3 linked regions of the Callithrix jacchus genome follow. The protein of the gene in region 1 purifies or fractionates together with the protein of each later gene. This does not show direct contact. Links are inferred from orthologs where the notes say so. Each region holds a gene or a part of one and is shown on either strand. Other genes may lie near its edges. The genes, in order: MAPK3, DUSP6 and DUSP9.

The links.
Region 2: the proteins of MAPK3 (region 1) and DUSP6 purify together in Homo sapiens (affinity purification with mass spectrometry; 7 studies listed by BioGRID and IntAct, with this or other methods). This does not show direct contact. The link is inferred for Callithrix jacchus from reciprocal best matches to the Homo sapiens genes MAPK3 and DUSP6.
Region 3: the proteins of MAPK3 (region 1) and DUSP9 purify together in Homo sapiens (affinity purification with mass spectrometry; 4 studies listed by BioGRID and IntAct, with this or other methods). This does not show direct contact. The link is inferred for Callithrix jacchus from reciprocal best matches to the Homo sapiens genes MAPK3 and DUSP9.

Annotation. Positions count from the first base shown.
Region 1 is NC_133513.1:29,403,940-29,411,163, forward strand, and holds the start of MAPK3 (mitogen-activated protein kinase 3), read left to right. Parts: upstream 1-2,959; 5' UTR 2,960-2,994; coding exon 2,995-3,173; intron 3,174-4,181; coding exon 4,182-4,364; intron 4,365-7,224.
Region 2 is NC_133510.1:91,812,948-91,820,171, reverse strand, and holds the start of DUSP6 (dual specificity protein phosphatase 6), read right to left. Parts: upstream 3,813-7,224; 5' UTR 3,347-3,812; coding exon 2,947-3,346; intron 2,353-2,946; coding exon 1,915-2,352; intron 894-1,914; coding exon 586-893; 3' UTR 1-585. UniProt on the Homo sapiens protein: Dual specificity protein phosphatase, which mediates dephosphorylation and inactivation of MAP kinases. Has a specificity for the ERK family. Plays an important role in alleviating chronic postoperative pain.
Region 3 is NC_133524.1:149,565,500-149,572,723, forward strand, and holds the start of DUSP9 (dual specificity protein phosphatase 9), read left to right. Parts: upstream 1-3,272; 5' UTR 3,273-3,447; intron 3,448-4,154; exon of another isoform or gene 4,155-4,358; intron 4,359-7,224. UniProt on the Homo sapiens protein: Inactivates MAP kinases. Has a specificity for the ERK family.

The sequences.
Region 1 (7,224 bases):
GACCTTCTGCAACCCTACTTTTTCTTTTCTTCTTTTTGCTTTTTTGTTTCTTGCTTTTGAGACGGAGTTTTGCTCTGTTGCCCAGGCTGGAGTGCAGTGGCATGATCTCAGCTTACCACAACCTCCACCTCTTGGGTTCAAGTGATTCTCCTGCCTCAGCCTCCCAAGTAGCTGGGATTACAGGCACATGTCACCAAACGCCCGGCTAATTTCTGTATTTTTAGTAGAGATGGGGTTTCACCATGTTGGTCAGGCTGGTCATGAACTCCTGACCTCAGGCGATCTGCCTGCCTCAGCCTCCCAAAGTGCTGGGATTACAGGCATGAGCCACTGCAACCGACCTACTTTTACTTTACTTTTCTTTTTTTTTTTGGAGACAGAGTCTTGCTCTGTAGCCCAGGCTGGAGGGCAGTGGCGCAATCTTGGCTCACTGCAACCTCCTCCTCCCAGGTCCCAGGTTAAGCAATTCTCCTGCCTTAGCCTCCTGAGTAGCTGGGATTACAGGTATGTGCCACCATGCCCAGCTAATTTTTGTATTTTTAGTAGAGACAGGGTTTCACCGTGTTGGCTAGGCTGATCTTGAATTCCTGACCTTGTGATCCACCTGCCTCGGCCTCCTAAAGGGCTGGGATTACAGGCATGAACCACCGCACCCAACCTACTTTTGCTTTTCTTTACTTTTTTTATTATAGAGACAGTGTCTCCCTCTGTTGCCCAGGATGATGTGCTGTGGTGCAATCATAGCTCACAGCAGCCTTGACCTCCTGGGCTCAAGCGAGTCTCCTACCTCTGGAGTAGCCAGGACCACAGGCACGCACCACCACGCACAGCTAATTTTTGTCTTTTTTTGCATAGACGGAGTCTTCCTATGTTGCCCAGGGTAGTCTCAAACTCCTGGTCTCAAGGGCTCCTCCTGCCTCCGACTCTCAAAGTGCTCGGATTACCAGTGTGAGCCACCACACCTGGCCTGTGTATTTATTATTTTAAAGACAAGGTATCAGTATTATTAAAAGGGAGGAAAAAAGAAAGAAGTAGAGACAGGTTTCTCACTCTCACCCTGACTGGAGTGCAGTGGTGCAATCATAGCTCACTGCAGACTCCAATTCCCCGGGCTCAAGTGATCCTCCTGCCTCGGCCTCCTAAACAGAGCACTGAAAGTGAGTCACTGCACTGGGATCTAAATTGATTTACATATTTTCTCTCTTCAATAGAGTGGAGGCCTCTACTAGAAGACAGTAGGTAATTTGCCAAGGGTAACACAAGTTAAGTGAGTGGCAAAGACGTGATTCATTTTTTCTTCTTTTTCTTATTCCTCATTCAACTTGAACTTGAAAGATGAGATTCTAGTCCAGGCAATCAGGCTCCAGGGTGTTTTTACTCTTAAGCACAGATTCATACTATCCAGTAATCCTTTATCAGCCCCAGTACCTAGCTCAGAGCTTTGCACACAGGGCCATGCAATGGTTTATCAAATGAATAACTAAAAAAACTCATTGATCTAATTAGCACCTCTTGAACCTTTACTGACCTATGGGCTACTGGGAATCAGAAACTCAGTCTCCTTAATCTGAGTGAGACTGCCTGGCTGTGGATCTAATTATAAGCGATTTCAGAATCATAATTACTGTTCCATTTTGTCTCTTGATCTGTAATGCATCAAGGACCTACTCCCAGCTTCTCAGGGACAAAAAAAAACAACAAAAGAACCCACAACATGATTACTTACTGAAGCCTGGGAGCTGTGTGTTTTTGTAAAGCTTGCAGCTCACATCTTCGATGTGAAAGAGGGGGGTGGACTGGATGGTCTCGGAGGGCCCTTTCTTCAGTTGTAATAGTCTGAGATGGACAGGTGTGATCCCAGAGCTTTGGGAGGCCAAGGTGGGAGGATTCCTTGAAGTCAGAGTTTCAGACCAGCCTGGGCAACATAGCAAGACCCAGTCTCTACCCACCAAAAAAACATATTTTCTTTTCTTTTTTTTTGAGATGGAATCGCCTTGCTTTGTCACCCAGGCTGGAGTGCAGTGGGCGATCTTGGCTCACTGCTGCAACCTCTGCCTCCTGGGTTCAAGCAATTCTCCTGCCTCCACCTACTGAGTAGCTGGGATTACAGGCGCCCACCATCAGGCCCCAATAATTTTTGTATGTTTAGTAGACACGGGTTTCACCACGTTGGCCAGGCCGGTCTGAAACTCCTGACCTCAAGTTATCCGCCCAACTCGGCCTCTCAAAGTGCTGGGATTATAGGCGTGAGCTACCGTGCCGGAACCCCCCAAAATTTTTTAATTAGCAGGGCATGGTGTTGTCCACTCGTAGTCCCGGCTCTTCGGGAGGCTGAGGTTGAAGGATCGCTTGACCCCAATCACTCGAGGCTGCAGTGAGCTATGATTGCACCACTACACTCCAGCCTGGACGACAGAGCGAGACCCTGTCTCTAAAAGAAAAAAACAGTATAGGATTTTGAGAGGCATGGAATTATAAAGAGCCTCTGTGTCAAAAGACATCATTTTGAGTCTCACGTCTGTCATTACTAGGGACCTTACCCAAGTTAGTTAACCCAACTCACAGATTGCCGATCTGTAAAATTTGATTCATTTATTCGAACATTTTTTTGATCTAGGGTGATCCCGGGCCCAGGTTCTGGTGGGCTCCCGCACACATTGGCTGGCTGGCTCTGGGAGGTCACGCGCTGGCCGCTTCATCATCGAGGAGAGGGTGAAGACGATCTCCGAGGCCGCGCTGCTGAGCCTTCCCGTGGCCTGGAGGCCACGGAACCAGCAGGGATCCAAGGCCCGCGCACCTAGGGCTGGAAGGGCAGGCGCGCGCAGGGCGGCTCACGTGACAGCCCCGGGCCCGCCTGGGGTCGGGGGCGCGCGGGGGCGGGGCGGGGGCGGGGCCTGGCGCGCGCGGCCCCGCGGGTGACAGGCGGGCGGGAAGGGGCGGGGCCTCGGGCGGGGCCGCTGAGGGGAGGAGGGCGGCGGGAGGGGAGGAGTGGAGATGGCGGCGGCGGCGGCGGCGGCGGCTCAGGGGGGCGGGGGCGGGGAGCCCCGGAGAGCCGAGGGGGTCGGCCCGGGGGTCCCGGGGGAAGTGGAAATGGTGAAGGGGCAGCCGTTCGACGTGGGCCCGCGCTACACGCAGCTGCAGTACATCGGCGAGGGCGCTTACGGCATGGTCAGGTGAGGGGGCGTTCCGGGGGAGGGGGCGCCCTCGGGGGAGGGGGCTTCGCGGGAGAGGAGGGGGAGGCGCCGAGCGCTTTCCAGGACGTGGAGACGCGGAGCGTCCCGAGGAGGCCGGGGACTCGGGATGATCGGGAGCGTCCCAGGGAGGGGTCCCTGAATGCTTTCTGGGGGAGGGGTCGCTGCTACGTCCTCAGAGGAGGGGGCTTGGAGCTTTGAGTCCAGCACTCCGTAATGACGGGAGGGGCATCTGAGTGCATGTGGGGGACTGCCGGGACCCTAGAGACACGGGGCAAGGCCCAGAGGATGAGTACTCTCGGGGAGGCGACATCCTTAGTGAAGGGGCAGTGGAGGGTCGTTCTGGGGGAAAGGGTGTCTTGGATTCCCTGTGAGGCAGTGCTTGGAAGCCTGGGGGAGAAGAACAGAGATCAGGGTGTGGCAGGGCTTTGGCCCTCCCTTCCCACCACCACCAGGGGCTCAGTGAGGGATGAAGGGGCCAGGAGTGCCACCTGCATGTTTTGGGAGGGGTCTGTGAGTGCCCCCCGCCCCTCCATGTGCTCTGGGACAGCCTGGCTGCCTGGGCCCCTCACTCTGGGACCCTCCCCTGCCCTGTCCATTCCCTGGCTGCTGCTTTCCCACTGTGTTTGCCCCATGGTGTGGTCCCAGCATCTGCACCCCTGGACCTGTCTTGGGTTAAGGAGCCTTTCCTGGGAAGTGGGGTGAAGGGTTCAGGGCCACTAGAATGAAAGGGGATTGAGGAGAGGGGAAGTCAGTGAGTGGTCAGTCTCTTCCTCTGTTTGTAAAGTCACCGCAGGGGCGCCTGGCTGGTCCCCAGCTTTCTCTCTAGAGATCCCAGGCCTCCACAGCAGGAAGGAACCAGCATTGTTTATGAATTGGCCAGAGCCAGCTCCTGCTCCCTCCCCTCCCTGCCAAGGCCTGGGTGGGGCCACCAGGCCTGGACTCCCACTTTGTAAGGCCACAGCAGCAGCCTCTCTCTGGTCCCCTCAGCTCGGCCTATGACCACGTGCGCAAGACTCGAGTGGCCATCAAGAAGATCAGCCCCTTCGAGCATCAGACCTACTGCCAGCGCACGCTCCGGGAGATCCAGATCCTGCTGCGCTTTCGCCATGAGAATGTCATCGGCATCCGAGACATTCTTCGGGCGTCCACCCTGGAAGCCATGAGGGATGTGTATCCTTCACCTTGGCCTTCATGGCCTCCGAGCTGGGCTGGGGAACCATCACTTGCTTTCTGTTTCCATCTTCCCCACCATCCTCCAAAAAAAACCCAGTAAAATAAACTTTCCTGCAGAGGAGAGGCCACAGTGTAACAGGACTTGGAGGCCTCTGATGAATCCAGGCCTGTGGCAGCCGGGCAGTATGGCCTTGAGCAAGTCGGTTCTCTGCTCTGTGCCCCAGGGGGAGAGCTGGGCAGGATGGTCTCTATGGGAGTGTTGTCTTCTGACATCTGCAGTTCTGAGACATGACCCGGCCACAGCCCACAGTCACTTCTTGATAACAAATGGACGATTCTTTTCTCTCTTTTCTCTTTCCCCAGACTGGAAGGGAGACAGGGAGAAAGAAAGCTGTCAGCCGGGTGCAGTGGCTCACGCCTGTAATTCCAGCACTTTGGGAGGCCAAGGCAGGTGGATTACTTGAGGTCAGGAGTTGGAGACCAGCCTGGCCAACATGGTAACATTGTAAAACCCCATCTCTACTAAAAATACAGAAAAAAAAAATATATATAGCCGGGCCAGCTACTCTGGAGGCAGGGGTAGGAGAATCACTTGAACCCAGGAGGTGGACAGTGAGCCAAGATCATGGCATTACATCCCAGACTGGGTGACAGAGCAAGACTCTGTCTCAAAAAAAACAAAAAAACTACCTTTCTTGAGGGCCTATTGTGGGTCAGGTACTATATATGCCCAGTGCTTTATTTATTTATTTTGCTATTACACCTTCCAGCTATCCTATGAGATGGGTTTTTCAGCTCCATTTTTTTTTTTTTTTTTTTTTTGAGACGGAGTTTCACTCTTGTTACCCAGGTTGGAGTGCAATGGCACGATCTCAGCTCACCGCAACCTCTGCCTCCTGGGTTCAAGCAATTCTCCTGCCTCAGCCTCCCGAGTAGCTGGGACTACGGGTGCGCACCACCATGCCCAGCTAATTTTTGTATTTTTAGTAGAGACGGGGTTTCAACATGTTGACCAGGATGGTCTCAATCTCTTGACCTTGTGATCCACCCGCCTTGGCCTCCCAAAGTGCTGGGATTACAGGCATGAGCCACTGCATCCGGCCTTCAGCTCCATTTCAAAGATGAGGGGTGGAGAGCAATGGCTCACGTCTGTAGTCCCAACACTTTGGGAGGCCAAGACTGGAAGATTGCTGGAGACCAGGAGTTCAAGACCAGCCTGGGCAGCATAGTGAGACCCCATCTCTACAGAAAATTTAAAAATTAACCAGGTTTGGTGGTGCACAATTGTAGTCCCAGCTACTTGGGAGGCTGAGGCAGGAGAATGGCTTGAGCTCAGGAGTTAGAGGCTGCAGTGGGCTGTGATTGTGCTACTGTACTCCAGCCTGGGGGACAGAGAATGACCCTGTCTCAAAAAAAAAAAAAAAAATGAGGAAGCTAAGACCCAGAAAACCTAAAATCAAGTGTTTCTCTTGCTGTCTCCTCCTCCCCTCCCCCAGATGGGAAGTTGTCCTTCCTCTAGGACTTCTCACTCCAAGCAGCACCCTAATCACCTGTGGACTTGCACTTTGCCCAGGGAGGAGACAACCTAGCCTTGGTCTCCTCCCCTGATATTGCTTTCCTGGTTTGCTGTCCACTTCCTGGCTGGCTCTTTTGTTAGCAACTTGTGACACCTGTCACCTCTTCCCTGCCACACCCAATCACTCTCGGTCCCAGCACTCCACCCAAGAGAGGGGATTTGTACTCTGGTGTCTATAGCCCCCACCACAAACTGTGGACAGGAAATCTCCGCGTTCAGCCCCAGCTCGCTGTGTCATCTGAAGCAAGTCACTGCATCTCACTGGGCCTCCCCAGCTCTAAAACAGCAGGGCTGGTCCAGATGTTCTCTGAAGACTTCTTCAAGGCAGACCCCCCCTCCCCCCCCCCCCCCCCCCCCCCCCGCTCTGTTGCCCAGGCTGGAGTGCGGTGGCTAGATCTCCAATCACTGCAACATCCACTTCCCAGGTTCAAGTAATTCTGCCTCAGCCTTCCAAGTAACTGGGACTACAGGTGTGCACCACCACACCCGGCTAATTTTATATTTTTAGTAGAGATTTCACCATGTCGGCAGGCTGGCCTCGAACTCCTGACCTCAGATCACCAACCCACCTTGGCCTCCCAAAGTACTAGATTACAGGTGTGAGCCACAGCGCCTGGCCTCAAGGCAGATTCTAAAAGACAGACCTGACTTATTTTTCCAGACACAAGCCAAACGACATTTGTGGATTTATTTATTTATTTACTCACAGTCTTTGTTTTAGCTTCAAATGGAAAAAGACATTTTACTCCTCCATCTTCTGAGGTATGGCCAAGCACTCTTCTTTGAGTGGGAGTGTGCTGTTGGGAGTGTCTCCTCGTTTTTCTTGCACAAACCATTCCCATAAGGCAGGCATTTATTTTTAAGCAAACATCTATTGCATGCCAGATGGTGTTCATCCATTATCTCATTTAACTCCCGCGGCGTCCCTGTGACTCAGGCCTTGATATTAGTAATAATAGTTCACGTTTCTTTAGCACTCACAACTTGCCAGGCGCTGGGCTGACAGCTTTACATGCGCCACCTCATCTAGTCTTTACAGCCACCCTCGAAAGAACCATTATTTCATGCTTGCACCTGTAATTTCCAGCACTTTGGGAGGCCGAGGCGGAAGGAACTCTTGAACCGAGGAGTTCAAGACCTGCCTGAGCACATAGCAGGAGTCCATCTCCACAAAAAAGAAAAAAGCAAATAAACAAACAAAAAACATTATTTCCCCGACATACTAGGTGAGAAAGTTGAGGCACAGACAAGTTGAGATCTTAAAGCCAGTGAGTAGTAGAG
Region 2 (7,224 bases), on another chromosome or scaffold:
CCCTTTGGATAATTTCTTTTAAGCCCATCAAAGGAAAAAACAAATAATTCAAACAAACACTATCAAGTGATTTAAGATAAAATATTTACAGTAATCAAATTGAGTATCAGATTTTTTATTTTCCAAACTGATACCACAAATACAGAGCTGAAATCTCTCTTTGGCTCCTCTATATGCAAAATTGAATTAGTCTTCATTGAAGACAATTATATAGTCAGTTCCAGATGCAAAAGGAAAGGCCTTACAAGGCCCTAAAGAACACATGCTCCTACCCTACCATTTGGTCCTACCCTATAAACCTGGAAGTCCTCGAATCCCAGTCCCTGCATGGGTAGGCTGTACACATGGGTACAGAGCAAACCTACTGCCTGTATCTATACAGCTTGTCCTGTTATTCCAAAGAGAATGGAGCAAATCTCTCTGTTAGTATTAACCAATTCCACACTTGGTAACCTTGTCTAGTACAGACAGCTGGTGTCATTTTGATACCTGGGGCCACACACAAAGAAAGCAGCCCAGCTGATGCTGCCAAGAGAAACTGCTGAAGGACCAGACACATTCCAGCAAGGAGGGGTGTGGGGTCTTTCACGTGGATTGCAGGGAGTCCACCTGGTAGACATTCTGGTTGGAAGGGGTGGTAAAATACAGCTGCTGTGCTGGAACCCGGTTGTCACAGGGGCTACTGAGTCCCAGCGTCCTCTCAAAGTCCAGCAGCTGACCCATGAAGTTGAAGTTAGGGGATATGTTGGATTTCTTCATCTTGACAATGTCATAGGCATCATTCATCGACAGATTGAGCTTCTGCATAAGGTAAGCCACAGTCACAGTGACTGAGCGGCTAATGCCAGCCAAGCAATGTACCAAGACACCACAGTTCTTGCCCCGGGCTTCATCTGTGAACACAAAAAGAAAAGCAAGATCTCAGTGTATTGAAAATATACTTTGTGAATGATCAGTCTAAAAACTGAACTTTAATAATAATAATAATTGTGTGTGGCTGTTGAGCCATACGGGCAATGGAAAATGTATCACTGAAATAAAACATGTACAGTGGACACAATTACATATTTCAGATGTTTTCTAAAAAGAGAGCTTTTGTATTAAGTTTCTGCCAACAAAAAACTCCTTAATGGGTGCATTCTTTGCCTCAGCATGTGAATACCAGAAACCCTGCAATATGTTCGTGAATGCCTTTTATACAGACAAGCAGACTGCAAGGGTCTATTAAATTATTCTCCAAATGTTGTGCAGTTAACAATGGAGGTATTCAGGCATTTTAAAAGAGAGAGGGAAGTCACAGGGGACAGCCCATTAGGAGGAACAGGATGTCGACATGGCTTGAAAATGAGTTCCTTTGTAATAGGAAGTGCATTACAATGCCTAGAGATTCACTTCTCCCAGGCTTCCAGCCCACAGTTCTTCCTGCTGGGCTCAGGTTACCCACTGTCTCACTGTTACCAGTATCACAGTATCATTCAACTGGGTAACACTCAGCATTCATACTGCTTTCCAACAACTAACTTGACGTCCTAATATAACTCCTAGGTTTTTAAATTATAAAGCAATGCTGGAATTCCTGTGTATAGTGAGTACTTCTATTTGACCCTTCCCCTGAGTCCAAAGACTGTGGGAAAAATCTGTTTTCCAATTATGAACGATCCCAACCCCCGTCAAATGACTGAATTCAAAGATTCAAGAAACAGCATTTCAAATAGGTGATCTGCATCCATGTCAAAAGGCAGGTTTTCTTCCCTTAGCAAGAAAATAATACAGAATTAAGGACGCTCTAGAAACATTAGAGACCTTTAGTCTGACAAATTAGCAAGCAGAAAGAACGATTAACAGCTTAAACTCTATGAATGGCTGGGAATTTTGCATTTAAATGTCAGAGCAACGACTACTAATTAGTCTCACCTATGAAAGAAATGGCCTCAGGGAAAAACTGGGACAGGTTTTGGCTCCAGTGATCCGAGATGGGGATTTGCTTGTATTTAAACTCTCCTGCGTTTTCAAAGAGATTCGGCAAATTGGGGGTGACATTCAAGATGTATTTGATGCCGAATTCCTCCAACACGTCCAAGTTGGTGGAGTCTTTGGCACAGCCCAAGTAGAGGAAGGGCAAGATCTCCACTGGGAAGGAAGGCTGGCTGTTGGACAGTGGGCTACCATCCGAGTCTGTTGCACTATTGGGGTCTCGGTCAAGGTCAGACTCAATGTCCGAGGAAGAGTCAGAGCTGATACGCAGGCCCCCGAGCCCCAGCACTGGTAACGGCGGCGAGCTGCTGCTACACGAACCGTCTAGATTGGTCTCGCAATGCAGGGCGAACTCGGCTTGGAACTTACTGAAGCCACCTGCCAGAACGAGAAAAGCAATCGTGTAACCCGAGAAGTCGTAGTAGTTTTCACAGCTTGTAAGAACCACCCCGGCGTAAGAAACACCACAAGCACCCTACAAACCCCCCCGACATACATAATAAGAGAAACACACTTTAAATGTGCACCCTTGGGAATGGAACGAACGGGCCCGCCTCGCCAGGGAACCCTTATTCGTTTAAATCCGGAAATATACAAAATGGCAACTTTTGGGAATATTTTGAGAAACTAGGATGTGCCAATCTGCACCCCCAACAACCTCTCCGGTCCTGCAAATCTTAATTCAAAATCGAACGATAGAAAACAGGGTGATGGTAGAGGATGTTCTGGGTAAGAAGGGCTCAGAACCCGTTAGAAAGAAACGGCCGGTAACCGCGGCCGGAAGCGGGTGGATTCTGCCCCTGCCCGGTTCTCCGGTGCGGAACGCGCGGGTCGCGGCCCCTACCTCGCCGCTGCCGGCCCCTGGGCAAGCTGCGCGGCTCTGAAGCGCCAGCGGCAGAGGCATTTTTAGTCCACGCGCCCGGCCCGCAGCCCTGCGCCCTGTCCCGCAAGCTGAGTTCCCCGGGCGCGTACCTTCCAGGTAGAACGCCCGGCAGCCCTCGTCCTTGAGCTTCTTGAGCAGCAGCCCCAGTACCGACTCGCCGCCCGTATTCTCGTTCCAGTCGCTGCTGCTCTCGTCGTAGAGCACTACTGTGTCGGTGCCGCAGCGCCGGGTGAAGCGGTCCCGGTCCTCGCCGCGCGTAAAGAGCGCGCGCACGGGCAGGTTGCCCTTCTGCAGGCGCCGCAGCATGATGCCCGGGATGGCCACGTTGATGGCCGACTCGATGTGCGACGACTCGTACAGCTCCTGCGGCCGGCAGTCCATCAGCAGCAGCCGCTCGTTGCCCAGCTCCAGCTGCTCGTTGAGCCACGCCACCGTCTTGCTGATCGCCATTTCCGACGCGAAGGGCACGGGTCTGAGCGTATCTATCATGGGGGTCGAGCTGCGGGAGAGGGCGAGGTGCCTACCAGACGCCCCTCGGGGCAGGCATAGGCCGAGCGCACCGCGCGCGAAGCTGCCGCTCTCAGAGCGGGGTTTAAGTCCGCCTCGCCTCACCCAAGCCGAGGCTGGCGATTGGGGAAAACGAGACAGAAGTGAAGCCAGAGGTTCTCTCTGCACCCGGCTGCAGCCGCTGGCTCTTGGTGTCAATGAATCTCTCTCAATGAAGCTGCCCAGACAGTTTTGTTCCTCCCCAGTGAATGAAATCCAATTAATTCGGACTCCGTGTTACTGAGAGGGAAGGAAAAAAATGTCTAGCGGCTCCTAATCCCTCCCTCCAAGGCTGCACCTCAAATCTACCCGGGCGTCTTTCTCCTCGGATTATTTAAGACTCGATTTGCTCACTATCCCTGGGACTCAGCCTCGCACACCCCCAGTGCGAGGCAGCTCCTCAATGGATACAAACAGCGAGCGTCTCAATGGATACATTCTCCGGGCCAGCCAATGAGCGAGCTGCGGAAGGGGCTGTTGCCGTGGGGACGGGCCGGCTGGAACAGGTTGTGTTGATGAATTGTTAATGAGTTTGTCATTCACAAAAACGGAAAGGAATTTCCGCTCCGGATAAGCCCCAGTGCAAACAAGCTGCAACAGCGGGCTCGGCGGGAGGAAGGAGAAAGAAGGGGAGGCGGCAGCAGAGGAGGAGCAGGGCACATAAGCCAGGGCACTTCAGTTGTCTCATGTTTCCTTCTGTTGAGAGTTCACACTTCGCGTCGGAACTTTTGCGCACCAATGGCGCAATTAGCATGCACAAAAGCCCTTGTTCGCGACGCTTGCGTTCCGGAGCTAGCTTTAGGAAAACTTGCGCTGACTTTTTGTTCTTTGTATCCCCTTCTAACTCATTTGGACCCAAGTTCGCTTTAATCCTCCTCGCCCCAACCCCCCTTCTCTAGGCGGTGTGTGGTATTTGTTTGCCAGCTTTAAAGCCCCAGCTCTGTTTGCTCTGATGTTCTTTTAGCCGAGACTGTGTTGGGGCTGGTGAACTGACGGGGCTTTAGTGACCGATGAGGTGTTAAATGCTAATCCAACATCTTTCGAAACAAGCCGGGATTCTGTTGAAACATTTTAAAGCAAACAAATGTTTGGTTGTCCAGAAAATCAGAAGAAAACCTTTTTTCTTAAAGTAGCATTTTATCTTCTTTAAAACAATGTGGAATACAGAAACAAACTCTTAGGGCAGTCCAGTACTTTTACTGTATTCCGCTCCAGCGGCGTGGGGAGTTACGAGCCATTGTTCTGGAGATCTAAATCTCTTCCCCCGACCCCACCACCATCACCGCCTGCTGGGGGGTCGCGTTGGTTAATGATTTCTGGGCAAGGAGCTCGGCTTCTGACGGAGGAGCCGGTCTGGCGGGACTGCCTGGATGAAGTGTGCTGGGACACGCAGGGCCGGGCCGGTAGTCCCCGCCATTGGCGAGGCGTGGGGAAGTCCTCCCGCAAGGTCTGTAGGCTCCGGGGGCTCAGCGGGGGGGGGGGGGGGTCCGCTATTGGTTACAGTTGGCAGGGAGGCATGCCAGAGGGGGCCTCCCCAGCCCCCTCCTGCCGCCGCCTCCTCCCTTTGTCCAGCGCCTGGCACTCCCTAGAGCACCAGCCGCGCCTGCGCGCTGCGCTCCCTGCCACCGCCCCGCTGCCCCCGTCTCCCCACTTGGCAGGCACGAGGCTTTGCGCGATCCAGTGGACGGGTGCGGGGCTGAGCGGGGAACTCCGGGTTCCATAGAGATCTGGGGCGGGTGGTGGGGGGAGCAAGGACGAGTGCCTGCCGGGACCCCCCCCCCCCGGCCCTTGGCTCTCAAGGAGTCGCGGGGAACGTCCCTACCGCCCTACAGAGCCAGCAGGTAACTTGCGGAGGTGCTGGCCAGGCCAGCTCGCGGCGCTTGACTCAGGCGCCGCGGGGCGGATGGACTGGAAGCCGGATGGAGGCGTGGCCGGGTGGGGGCCGCGGCGGCGGGGAGGCGCGTTCCCGGCGCGCACAGCTCTATTGTTATATAAAAGTGCCGAGGCCTGACCCTCCCGAGCGGAAAACCACCTGCGAGCGGCCGGCTTGGAGCGGGAGGGCTGCGGCCGGAAGGCGCGGGCCCTAATCCGGCATCCCCTCCCTAAACCCCGGCGGAAAAGAGGCCGCGCTTTGTCCCGCCGCTGCCTGGGAGGCGGAAGCGGGGCAGCCTCCCGGCGGGGTGCGGCTTTGGGTAGCGTCCCTCGCAGCGCTTTGCGCCCACCCAGCACCGCGAGGGCGCCTAAGGTCGCGGGGTCTCCCCTCGCCCGACGCCCCGCACCCACGGGCATGCCTGCTGACGCCCCTGCTGCAATTTGCATTTTTAGTCAGCCGCCTCTTCCCTGGTTTGGGAAATGTAGGCTAAAAAAAGGCGGCTGCGAGGCCCGGGTTGCCAATTTTGGAGCTCTGCTGCAGGCAGGCCGCCCCGGGAGGAGCGTGTTCGACGAAGGTGGAGATTGCCGCTCTCCTCTCCGCACCTTTTTTGGGCAGCCCTTGGAACTAAACTCCTGTATTTCACTGGATATCTTCTAGTTTTCAGCCGGGGGAGGCCTGCGCTGGAGTTGACTCCCCCTGTCCTCCCCGATCTGTCACAGAAGTTCCCATACCAAGACGTTTCAGTCATTGGGACCTGGGGACAGTGAGGGAAGAGGCAGGGTGTCCTGAAGCGGAACTGGGAAGAACAAACCTGTTGGAGGTGCAGCCCAGGACCTCCAACAGAAGAGAAAAGGAGGGAAGCTGGGTTTCCACTTTGCCTGTTTTAAAAGTGCAGCTACCTGAATATGACTATAGATTCAGGAGGACACATCGAAACTAGTTTTACCCATGCTTCTGAACTCTTTCGCCAGGGGAATGCCAGTCTTTCCTGGCATATTGATTAAAGTGACGTTCTGACCGCTCAGTCCTAGAAATGCTGCGTAAAGGGCTTCTGGAGTGAGACGACCGTCGTTTGAATTATGTATCCAGCTTCTATCTAGGTGTGCGCCCTTAGTTAAATCATCTAGCGGTTGTAAGTTGCAGTCTTCCACGTCGGCATAATTAATATAAAACTGTCTGCTTCATGTTCCCTGTGACGACAAAATGGGTAGGGTGAAATGTCCTAAAATGGTGATGGGGTGCTATTAGCTGATTTGAGTTAATTTTTTATCCTTCTGAATTGAGAACCTGTGAAAAGGCCTCGGTTGGGGGGATGGTTTTGGCATTCCACAGATGCCCTTTGAGGCTTGCCTCACAGCACGCCTGGACTGGCTCATCTGCAGCAAAGCCCTCTAAGGTACTACCCTAACCGATTTAATCCGTTCTAATACAGCTGTCAAGCAAAGGAGGTGTTCTTATAGACCAGGATCAAAATTCTTTAGCAAGGTTATCAGAATGGACCCAGCTACATTTCTAACTTCTCCCTACGGTCACCTTTGAAACACCTTGTTCACCAGCCACAGCAAACTGATAAAATAGATACAACAGTGTGTACTGGGCATGATAGGTACCATCTTGTTTCTGTGTTTACGTGCATAATTTCGGACAGTCTTCAGAAAACCCATGTAAATTATCCCCATTTACAAAGATTAAGGAATTTGCCCAGGGTCACACAGTAGCAACGGAAAGTGTCAAGACATGCATCCAACCCCTTTGCAGACTCTTAAGGATACCCACATACACGGATTACAGAGTGCTGTGGATACTATACTCATCTCCATGTGGTATTCCCTGCCCAAATGTGAAGAATTTCAAGGTCAGCATTTTGAATTTTGACTTTCTGGCTTTCTCCAGCCTCACGTTTTCTGTTGCCTCCTCCCCACGGATGGGGTCAAAGATCAAAAGTTAG
Region 3 (7,224 bases), on another chromosome or scaffold:
GGGGGCTCCGCAGCACGGGAGCCAGGCCATCTGGGCACGCCCTTGGCACCCCCAGTACCCCCAGCCCTGTTGTTTTACCCCTGGTGGCTCCCCTCTCTCCTGGGGCATGCAGGAAAGTCACCTGCTACCCTCTCTCCTCCTTTCCCGCTGCGTGGGGTCTGGACGGAGCCTCCTTGTCTCCCCTCACCTCCCTTCCCCTGTCCAGCCCAGGGGTGCGGGTGGCTGGTTCTCCCGGTAAAAGGATCATATCATCTGGAATGTATATCCAGGCACATGTGCGCTGCTGCTTGGGAAGACAAGACAAGGAGAAGGAACCTGGCCGGAGGGGGATTGTATTGAACCTGAACCTGAGCCCTCCCGGAATGGCGGTGTTAATGGCTCGCCAAGTCCTGGCCCCCAGAAATCAATCACTGCACAGGCTGGTGCTCTCTGCTCTGCCCCCTCCTTTCCCTCTCGCCTATCTCCCATCTCTCCCTGCGGCTCACACCCCTGGGCGCTTGGCTTCCTGGCTGGCCTGCCTTTGACCTACTCTGCAAATGAGATTTCAGAGCCACTATAGGCCATTTTGTTTCAATGTCTGGGCATGGCTCCATTGGGAGCTGCTGTGGACAGGTTGGGTGCTTCTGAAGGCATGGCAGCTGGTAGCGGGATGCGTCCAGAAGATGCTGGGTGAAGCACTTCAGATCTGGGAGGGGTGCAGAGGGAGGAGTTGAAGGGACAGTGAGGGGGTTGTCATGTGAGCAGATGGCTTCAGCTGCAAAAGGAACCTCTGTAGGACCCAGAAATAAAGGTGTGTGCACCCTGGCGCCGGGGCCCGTAGATGTGACCCAGGTTCCATGCAGGATGACAGGCAGGGAGGACCCGGCACAGCAGGGTAGCCTGGGGACTTCGGCTTTGACAGCCATCACCTTTCCCACAGTCTCTCCCCCAAAACCTCATTCACCTGGACAGTGGCTCAGATTCGGGACCTGAACAAAATGTCCCTTAACAGGTCCAGGTGCCTGCAGCCAAAGGCCTCCGTGTCACGAGCCAGCCACCCAAGGCCCTGCCAGGCTAACAACGTCTCTACCCCAAGCAAAGCGCCGCTCCCTGGCCCCTCCACCTTGCCCGGGGCTGGCAGTTCCTGGGGCTGCTTTCAGGGTCTCTGGAGAGCACCTCTGGGGTTCAGGAGGGCGTGGGGTCTCACAGGAAACAAGATGGCCCCTTCCCAATGGCCATCCCCAAGGAAGGAACAAGAAGGAGGGCAGTGGCTTTGGTGTTCAGGTGGAATGGAGGGTGAGGGGCGCAGAGGAAAGGGAGAAGGCTGGGGCGCCCCGTCACTCCCATCAGCAACAGATGGACCCAGCTGCTTTGGAGTCAGAGGCCCAGCTGTGCCCTCGGTTCTGCGAAGCAAACTTTCACTCACTCAACTCCTCTTTGGGAGTGTTCTGCATTTTATTCTCCAGCCCTGGGGATGAAGAGGGGACCGCTATTTCCTGAGGCAACTCGGAGCAGGCCTGGTCTTTGTATGCTCCTTCTCCAGCAACGGATGGTCTCGTTGCGTGGAGAGCAGAGACACTGGGAGGGCTGGAGTGGGAGCTGTGCAGAGACGAGGGCGGATTATTCAATCCAAATGTTTCTCCCCAGCCTCTCAGCCCTGAGTCACTAAAGCATGGCAACCCCAAGCTTACTAGAAACTCCTCTGAGTCAGCTCACCCACCAAGCCTTTGGTGATCAGCTGAGCACCCAGGCCACGGGCACAGCTGTCCTACGTCCTCTCCAAACAGGAGGCGCCCTCGGTGGAGGGGGGAATGTGAAAGCCAGCCCCCTGTTTTTAGGGCACAGCTTCTGTGGTATATGGATTTCTTAGGAAAGGTCCCATAACTTCAGCACATCGAGCAGCACAGGCACCAGCGGTGGCTGCATATGCTCGCCTTCGTGGCAGGTCCTGGGCAGCCTGGCCCCCCAAGGCTGTAGGGGAGAGCCCCAGTGCAGCCCCACGAGGCCCAGAGTCCAGAGCAGGGACAGGGTTGCAGGGCCAGTGGCCTCCTTCCAGGAGGGACTCTGCTGCAGTCGGGCCCAGAGCAGGGCGGACAGGCCTGGCTGGCAACAGCAGGACCCTCCCAGCTCACTCACCATGGCTTGAAACTGCACAGATAGGAGGGCCCTTGGAAATCACATGATCCCACCTCTCTCCCCAAAAGTACAGACCAGGAAATGGAGACCCAGAGATGGGGCAGGGACTGGGCTCCAGAGGCAAAGCTGCTGCCCTTGTCTCTTCCAGGGGTAATGACTCAGGGGAATTCAGCGCTGCCGCAGACACAGCCAGGCAGCCAGTGGAGCTGCTGGCACCCCAGCCCTCCCTGCCGCACCTTATTCTGCGCTCATATCCTCCTGCTGGATCTCAACCTCTCCTCCACTGCAGGCAGGAGGCCAGGCTCATGCACCGCTGGCCTGGGAGCCCCAGAAAGGCCAGGTGCACACCTCGGACGGCTGCCTCCCCTCCCCTCCCCATGCAATCTTCCGCACTCACGCTCGTTCAGGCTCTAGGCTTCTGAACTCAGCCAGCCCGAGCCCCATCCTACTTTGCCACTACACTATCGTGCCACCACCAGGGAGCCACGGCCTCAGTTTCCCGGGCTGTAACATGGGGACAATCTCCTCAGACTTCCAGAACTGCTGTAAGGATAAAATGAGGTCCTTGGTGCCAATGGGTGTGACCTGTGGTACAAAGGAGAAAGCTAACGGGACCTGGTGACAACACCCGCTCCCTACTTGCTCCCAGCCCCTCCCTCAACATCCTGGCTCCACCCCTTCCAGGCACTGAGGCTCAAATGCTATTACTAGTAGCCAGAATCTGACATATGAGAATAAGAGGAGACACTGCAGGGGGCCCCTTGGCTGGGGTGCCAGTGCAGATTCTGCGGAGCAACCGTCCCCCTAGCCCAGGCCCAGCCTAGTTCAGGGCCCCCAACCCCACTCCGGCGCTCCAAGCTCCGAAGTCCCCACTCAGTAGCACCATTGGGGACCGGGAAGCGCAGGGCGCGTCGTGCAGGACGGGCGGAGAGGGCAGAAGCTTGCAGGTGGGAGGAAGGCGGGCGGGGGCGTGGGAGGTGGAGGGAGACGCCGGGAAGGCCGCGGCCCCTCCCCGCTCCCTCCCTGCGCGCCGCCAGCTACATTGCCCCTCCTGGGCAGGGGGCGGAGAAGACGGCGATGGGAGGGGAGGAGGCGGTGGCGGAGGCGGAGGAGGCGGAGGCGGAGGAGGCGGTGGCGGCGGCGGCGGCGGCGGGGGCGGGATTTGGAGTTTCCCTCCGCAGCGCCGGCGGCTGCCCCTCAGCTCCTGGCAAGGCCGCCGCCCGGGGTTCCGGTGGCGTTCGGCGGCAGCAGTGGCGCTTCCCGCCGACCGAGCTTCAGAAACTTCCCGGCCGCGACGCAGGGAACAGGCTCAGAGAACCGAGCGGAGCAGAGGTGAGTGGAGCACACGACGTCCTGGGGACCCCCACCCCACCCCACCCGGCCTGGCTGACCCCCCCTACGTGCACCCCCTCCTCCACCCCACACCCCCAAAGTCCTGACAAGGCACTCCCCACGAAGCCGGCGCACGCGCCCCTAGGAGACCCATTGGGTGCTGCCGCCGCACACCCGTGCACCCCTCCCGTGCACCTCCCGTGTCCACTGCCACTTAGACCGGCTGCACACTCGCGCGCACACAAACCACGCATCACAGAGCCGGGTCCCTGTAATGCACACACTAGCATCCCCTGTACCACTACTCACCACTGTCCCCAACTCATGCCAACCCACCGAGACCCTGCCACGCCCCAGTACACACCCAGGCGCACACGCACGCTTCCAACACATCTCTGCGATACCTGCACTAACATAGCTCCCCCTACCATGCTCTTGCCACCTTGAACTCCCCATATCCCATGACAGACACCCCACCCAGGTGCCCAGCCCAGAGACACTGCAGTCCACCCACCCGGGAGCGAGGTCCCATCACAAATCCACATCCCAGCGGCCGATACTCCCCACGTCCCAGGCACACACCTCCAGCATCTCCAGCGCGCACTCTCATCCGCCCCAGCACGCGCGCACACCTGCTGGATTCACGCTCTCCAGCACCCTACCCCGCCCCCATCACAAATAGCCTTCGACACCCCCAGCACATCTCTGAGTCCCTCCCTCCCAACACCTGGCACGCGGGCTCTAGAGGCTGCAGCATTTGGTGGCATCCCTGCCAGGCACCTCTGGCTCTCCTTCGGCAGCGTCTCATCAGCCTTCGGCTCCCCAGGTGCCTCCCTAAACAGACCTTGAGACTCCCCAGCGACTGACTTGGCCTCTTCCCTAAGAGATAAAGAAGGCACTTGGGGTGCAAGGTAGGGTACTTAGATGCGGAGGCAAGGGGCCGGGGGGAGGGGCGGGGTGGAGGCAGAGAGCGCCCGCCGCTGAAATGGAGGCGTCCCAGGTGGGACCAAAGGGGCGCCAGCTGCCCGACCAGCCCGTAGTAGGTGGGTTCCATGCGGGCTGGAGTCCGCGCGCGCTGTCTGGGTGCCGGCCTGTGTGTGTGTTACGGGGAGAGCTGTATGTGCACGTGTGCTTATGCGTGTCGGGGTGGGGGAGGAGTGTGTAATCGGCAGAAGGAAAAGCAGGAGCAGCTCCCTCAGGCAACAATTGGTTTCATTCATTCATGCCTTCTTTGTTAACGAGCATTTCTTCCGCGAGCGCCGGGCGCGTGCCAGGCCCTGCACTGGGGGCTGGGGCCAGCTTGGGGCCGGGCACACACACGTTCCTGCCTTGGAGGAACTCCCAGTCCCGCGAGGAGACCGACCATCCCCAGCAGAAAGTGGATTTGATGGAAAAGACACTGGATTTGGCAGACACGCTGTCTCTGGGACTTGTGCTCTTGGCCATGTGACCCGGCCGCGACAGCCGAAATCCTGCCACTCGGCCCGGCGGGAATGGTGCATTTCGGGGTGGGAAGGCGGCGCGGCGCCGCTCTCGGGAGGCCCCCGGGACCAGAGGGCGCACTCGGCACGCGCGAGGCCTGCAGACGGCGGCTTCCTCGCGGCCTCCAGGGGGCGCTGGCCCGGCCGGGCGGAGGCCCGGGGCGCCCGGCAGGGGCGGGGGCGGGGTAGGCGGGCGCAGCGCCCACCCTGCGACGAGCAGCGAGCGCGCGGCCTGGCTCCGCCCGCCGGAGGGGGCCAGGAGAGGCCCGGGCGCGCGACGCGGCCTCTCCCTGCACGGCCCACCCGGGAGTGGCTGCGGGGCTCGGCGGCGCCCAGAGCTGGCGCTGCTGGGGGCCTGAGTGGGGGCAGTCAGGCGAGGGTCGCCGTTAGAGGGGGTTAGGAGGTTGGCTGCGCTCAGCCCTGCAGTGCGGAGGCCGCAACAGGTTCCCGTTTGTCCTGTTGCTGGCGCTGCGGGCGCTGTGGGCCCTGAACTCTCAGCTCTGACTTTGGAGATTGAGCCCCTCATGGCCTCCTCATGAGCCCCTTATGGCCCCCTCCTAAATTCTTTCTCCGGATGGGAAGGCTTGCCAGCACGGCTCCGCAGTTAGGTTCAGGGAGCCCCTCGCCCGGTCGGGAGCCAGGGACTCTTGGATCCCGGGCTTCCCCTCCCTTCACCATTTCGGAGGCTGCCTCTCTTCATCCTCATCCTAGCCCAGCTCCTCTCACCTCCAGGGAGCCCTCTCCAGAGTGGCCTAAGCACCTCAGGAGCTCCCTCTCCAGCCAGACTGAGCCCCCAGGCACAGGAGCGGGGAACACCGCTGTCCAGCTCCCGGCTGCTCACAGCCCTGTGCCACCCCTACTAGCCACAACCAGACTGGCACATGGCAGAACCTCGGTGGTGCCTTCAACCCCTGGCCACTCTGAGCTCCCACCCACAGCTGCAGTGGGCCTGGAGGCAGCCCCCGGGCTGGGCACCAGTGTACACCTCCACCACTGTGGGACTAGGCTGAGATAGGAGGAGGGAGAAGACAAAGTTCCTGCCCCAGGAACACACTGAGAAAGGGGGAAAGTGACCACACTGGGGAGCACAAAGGAGGGAGACTACTGGCTCCGAGTTGGGAGGGCTGCCTGGACGAGGGGACCTACAGAAAGAAGCAGAATCTCAGAACCTGGGCAGGGGGCATAGGAGGGAGGCCTGGGCTGGGGCCCATGCCCACTGGGCAAGAGGAGAAGGAAGGGCACAGTCCAGCTGCCCAAAGCCCCTGGATGCAGGAATTAGGACTCATCTTAGAGACAGGGACATGGAGGTGTGGCCAGACAGCAGCCCAGTGCCAGGGTCCTGGGAGTCCCGGCTAGCAGCCCACTGCCCAGAAGGGAGGGGGAGGGGAAACTGGAAGCCCCTTAGAGATCTCCATCTGGCCGTGGGGAAGATCTAGGCCTCGAACGGCACCCCTCACACTCACCCACCCCACTCCCAGCTTTCCATCACCTGCCCTCTTCCGTAACCGTGACCTCAGACATTTGCTCCTCTGACTCCGTAATGATTCCCACTGTGGGACTCGCAGTGCGCTTTCCATTTTCCACTCCTTAGAGAATGTGTGTAACTTTGATTTCTTTTACTTTAGTTCCTTAGATTCCCCAAAGTGGTCAAAGGGTTGGGATTTTTTCCTAGCTCTTGATATTGCCAGATTAATTTCCAAAAGGGCTATGCCAATATATACCCTGCAACCGTTGAACAGCACGTTGATTTCACAGCAATTTTGCCGGCACTGGGTGTTCTCAAACATGAGGACATTTCTAGCACAGAAGGTGGAAAGTGTTACCTCGTTGGTCATTGTTACTTGTTTTTTGGAGTTGCTTTCCTTCCACGCCTGAGCTTGAACCTTCCCCCAAATATTTGTAAGGCCGCCGCATTCCCTCCTTCCTGCAGTGTGCAGTGTTTTCAGGTTCTTTGCCCATTTATCTACAGGGGTCTTAACCTTTTGGTTGGGTATGAGCTTTATCTTATCTATTGTACATTTTCCTTCAACACTGTTATTTGCTTTTGTTGGGCTTTAAGCAGAAAAGGGACTTTTAGCCAGACCAGTGTTGTGGACACCTCCCCCTGACCTGGTCTCCTATCTCAGCGCTCACCACACCTGAGACCTTGTGCAGTGCCCTGGCTGCCTATGGATCTGCCCTGCCTATTGTGCCCATGGAGGAAAGGATGGAGGCCACCAGCCTTGGTTGAGTGGATGGCATTCTGACATTGGGCAGGGCAGGGCAGGGTGGAGGGCAGGTCGTTGCAGGCCTGGAG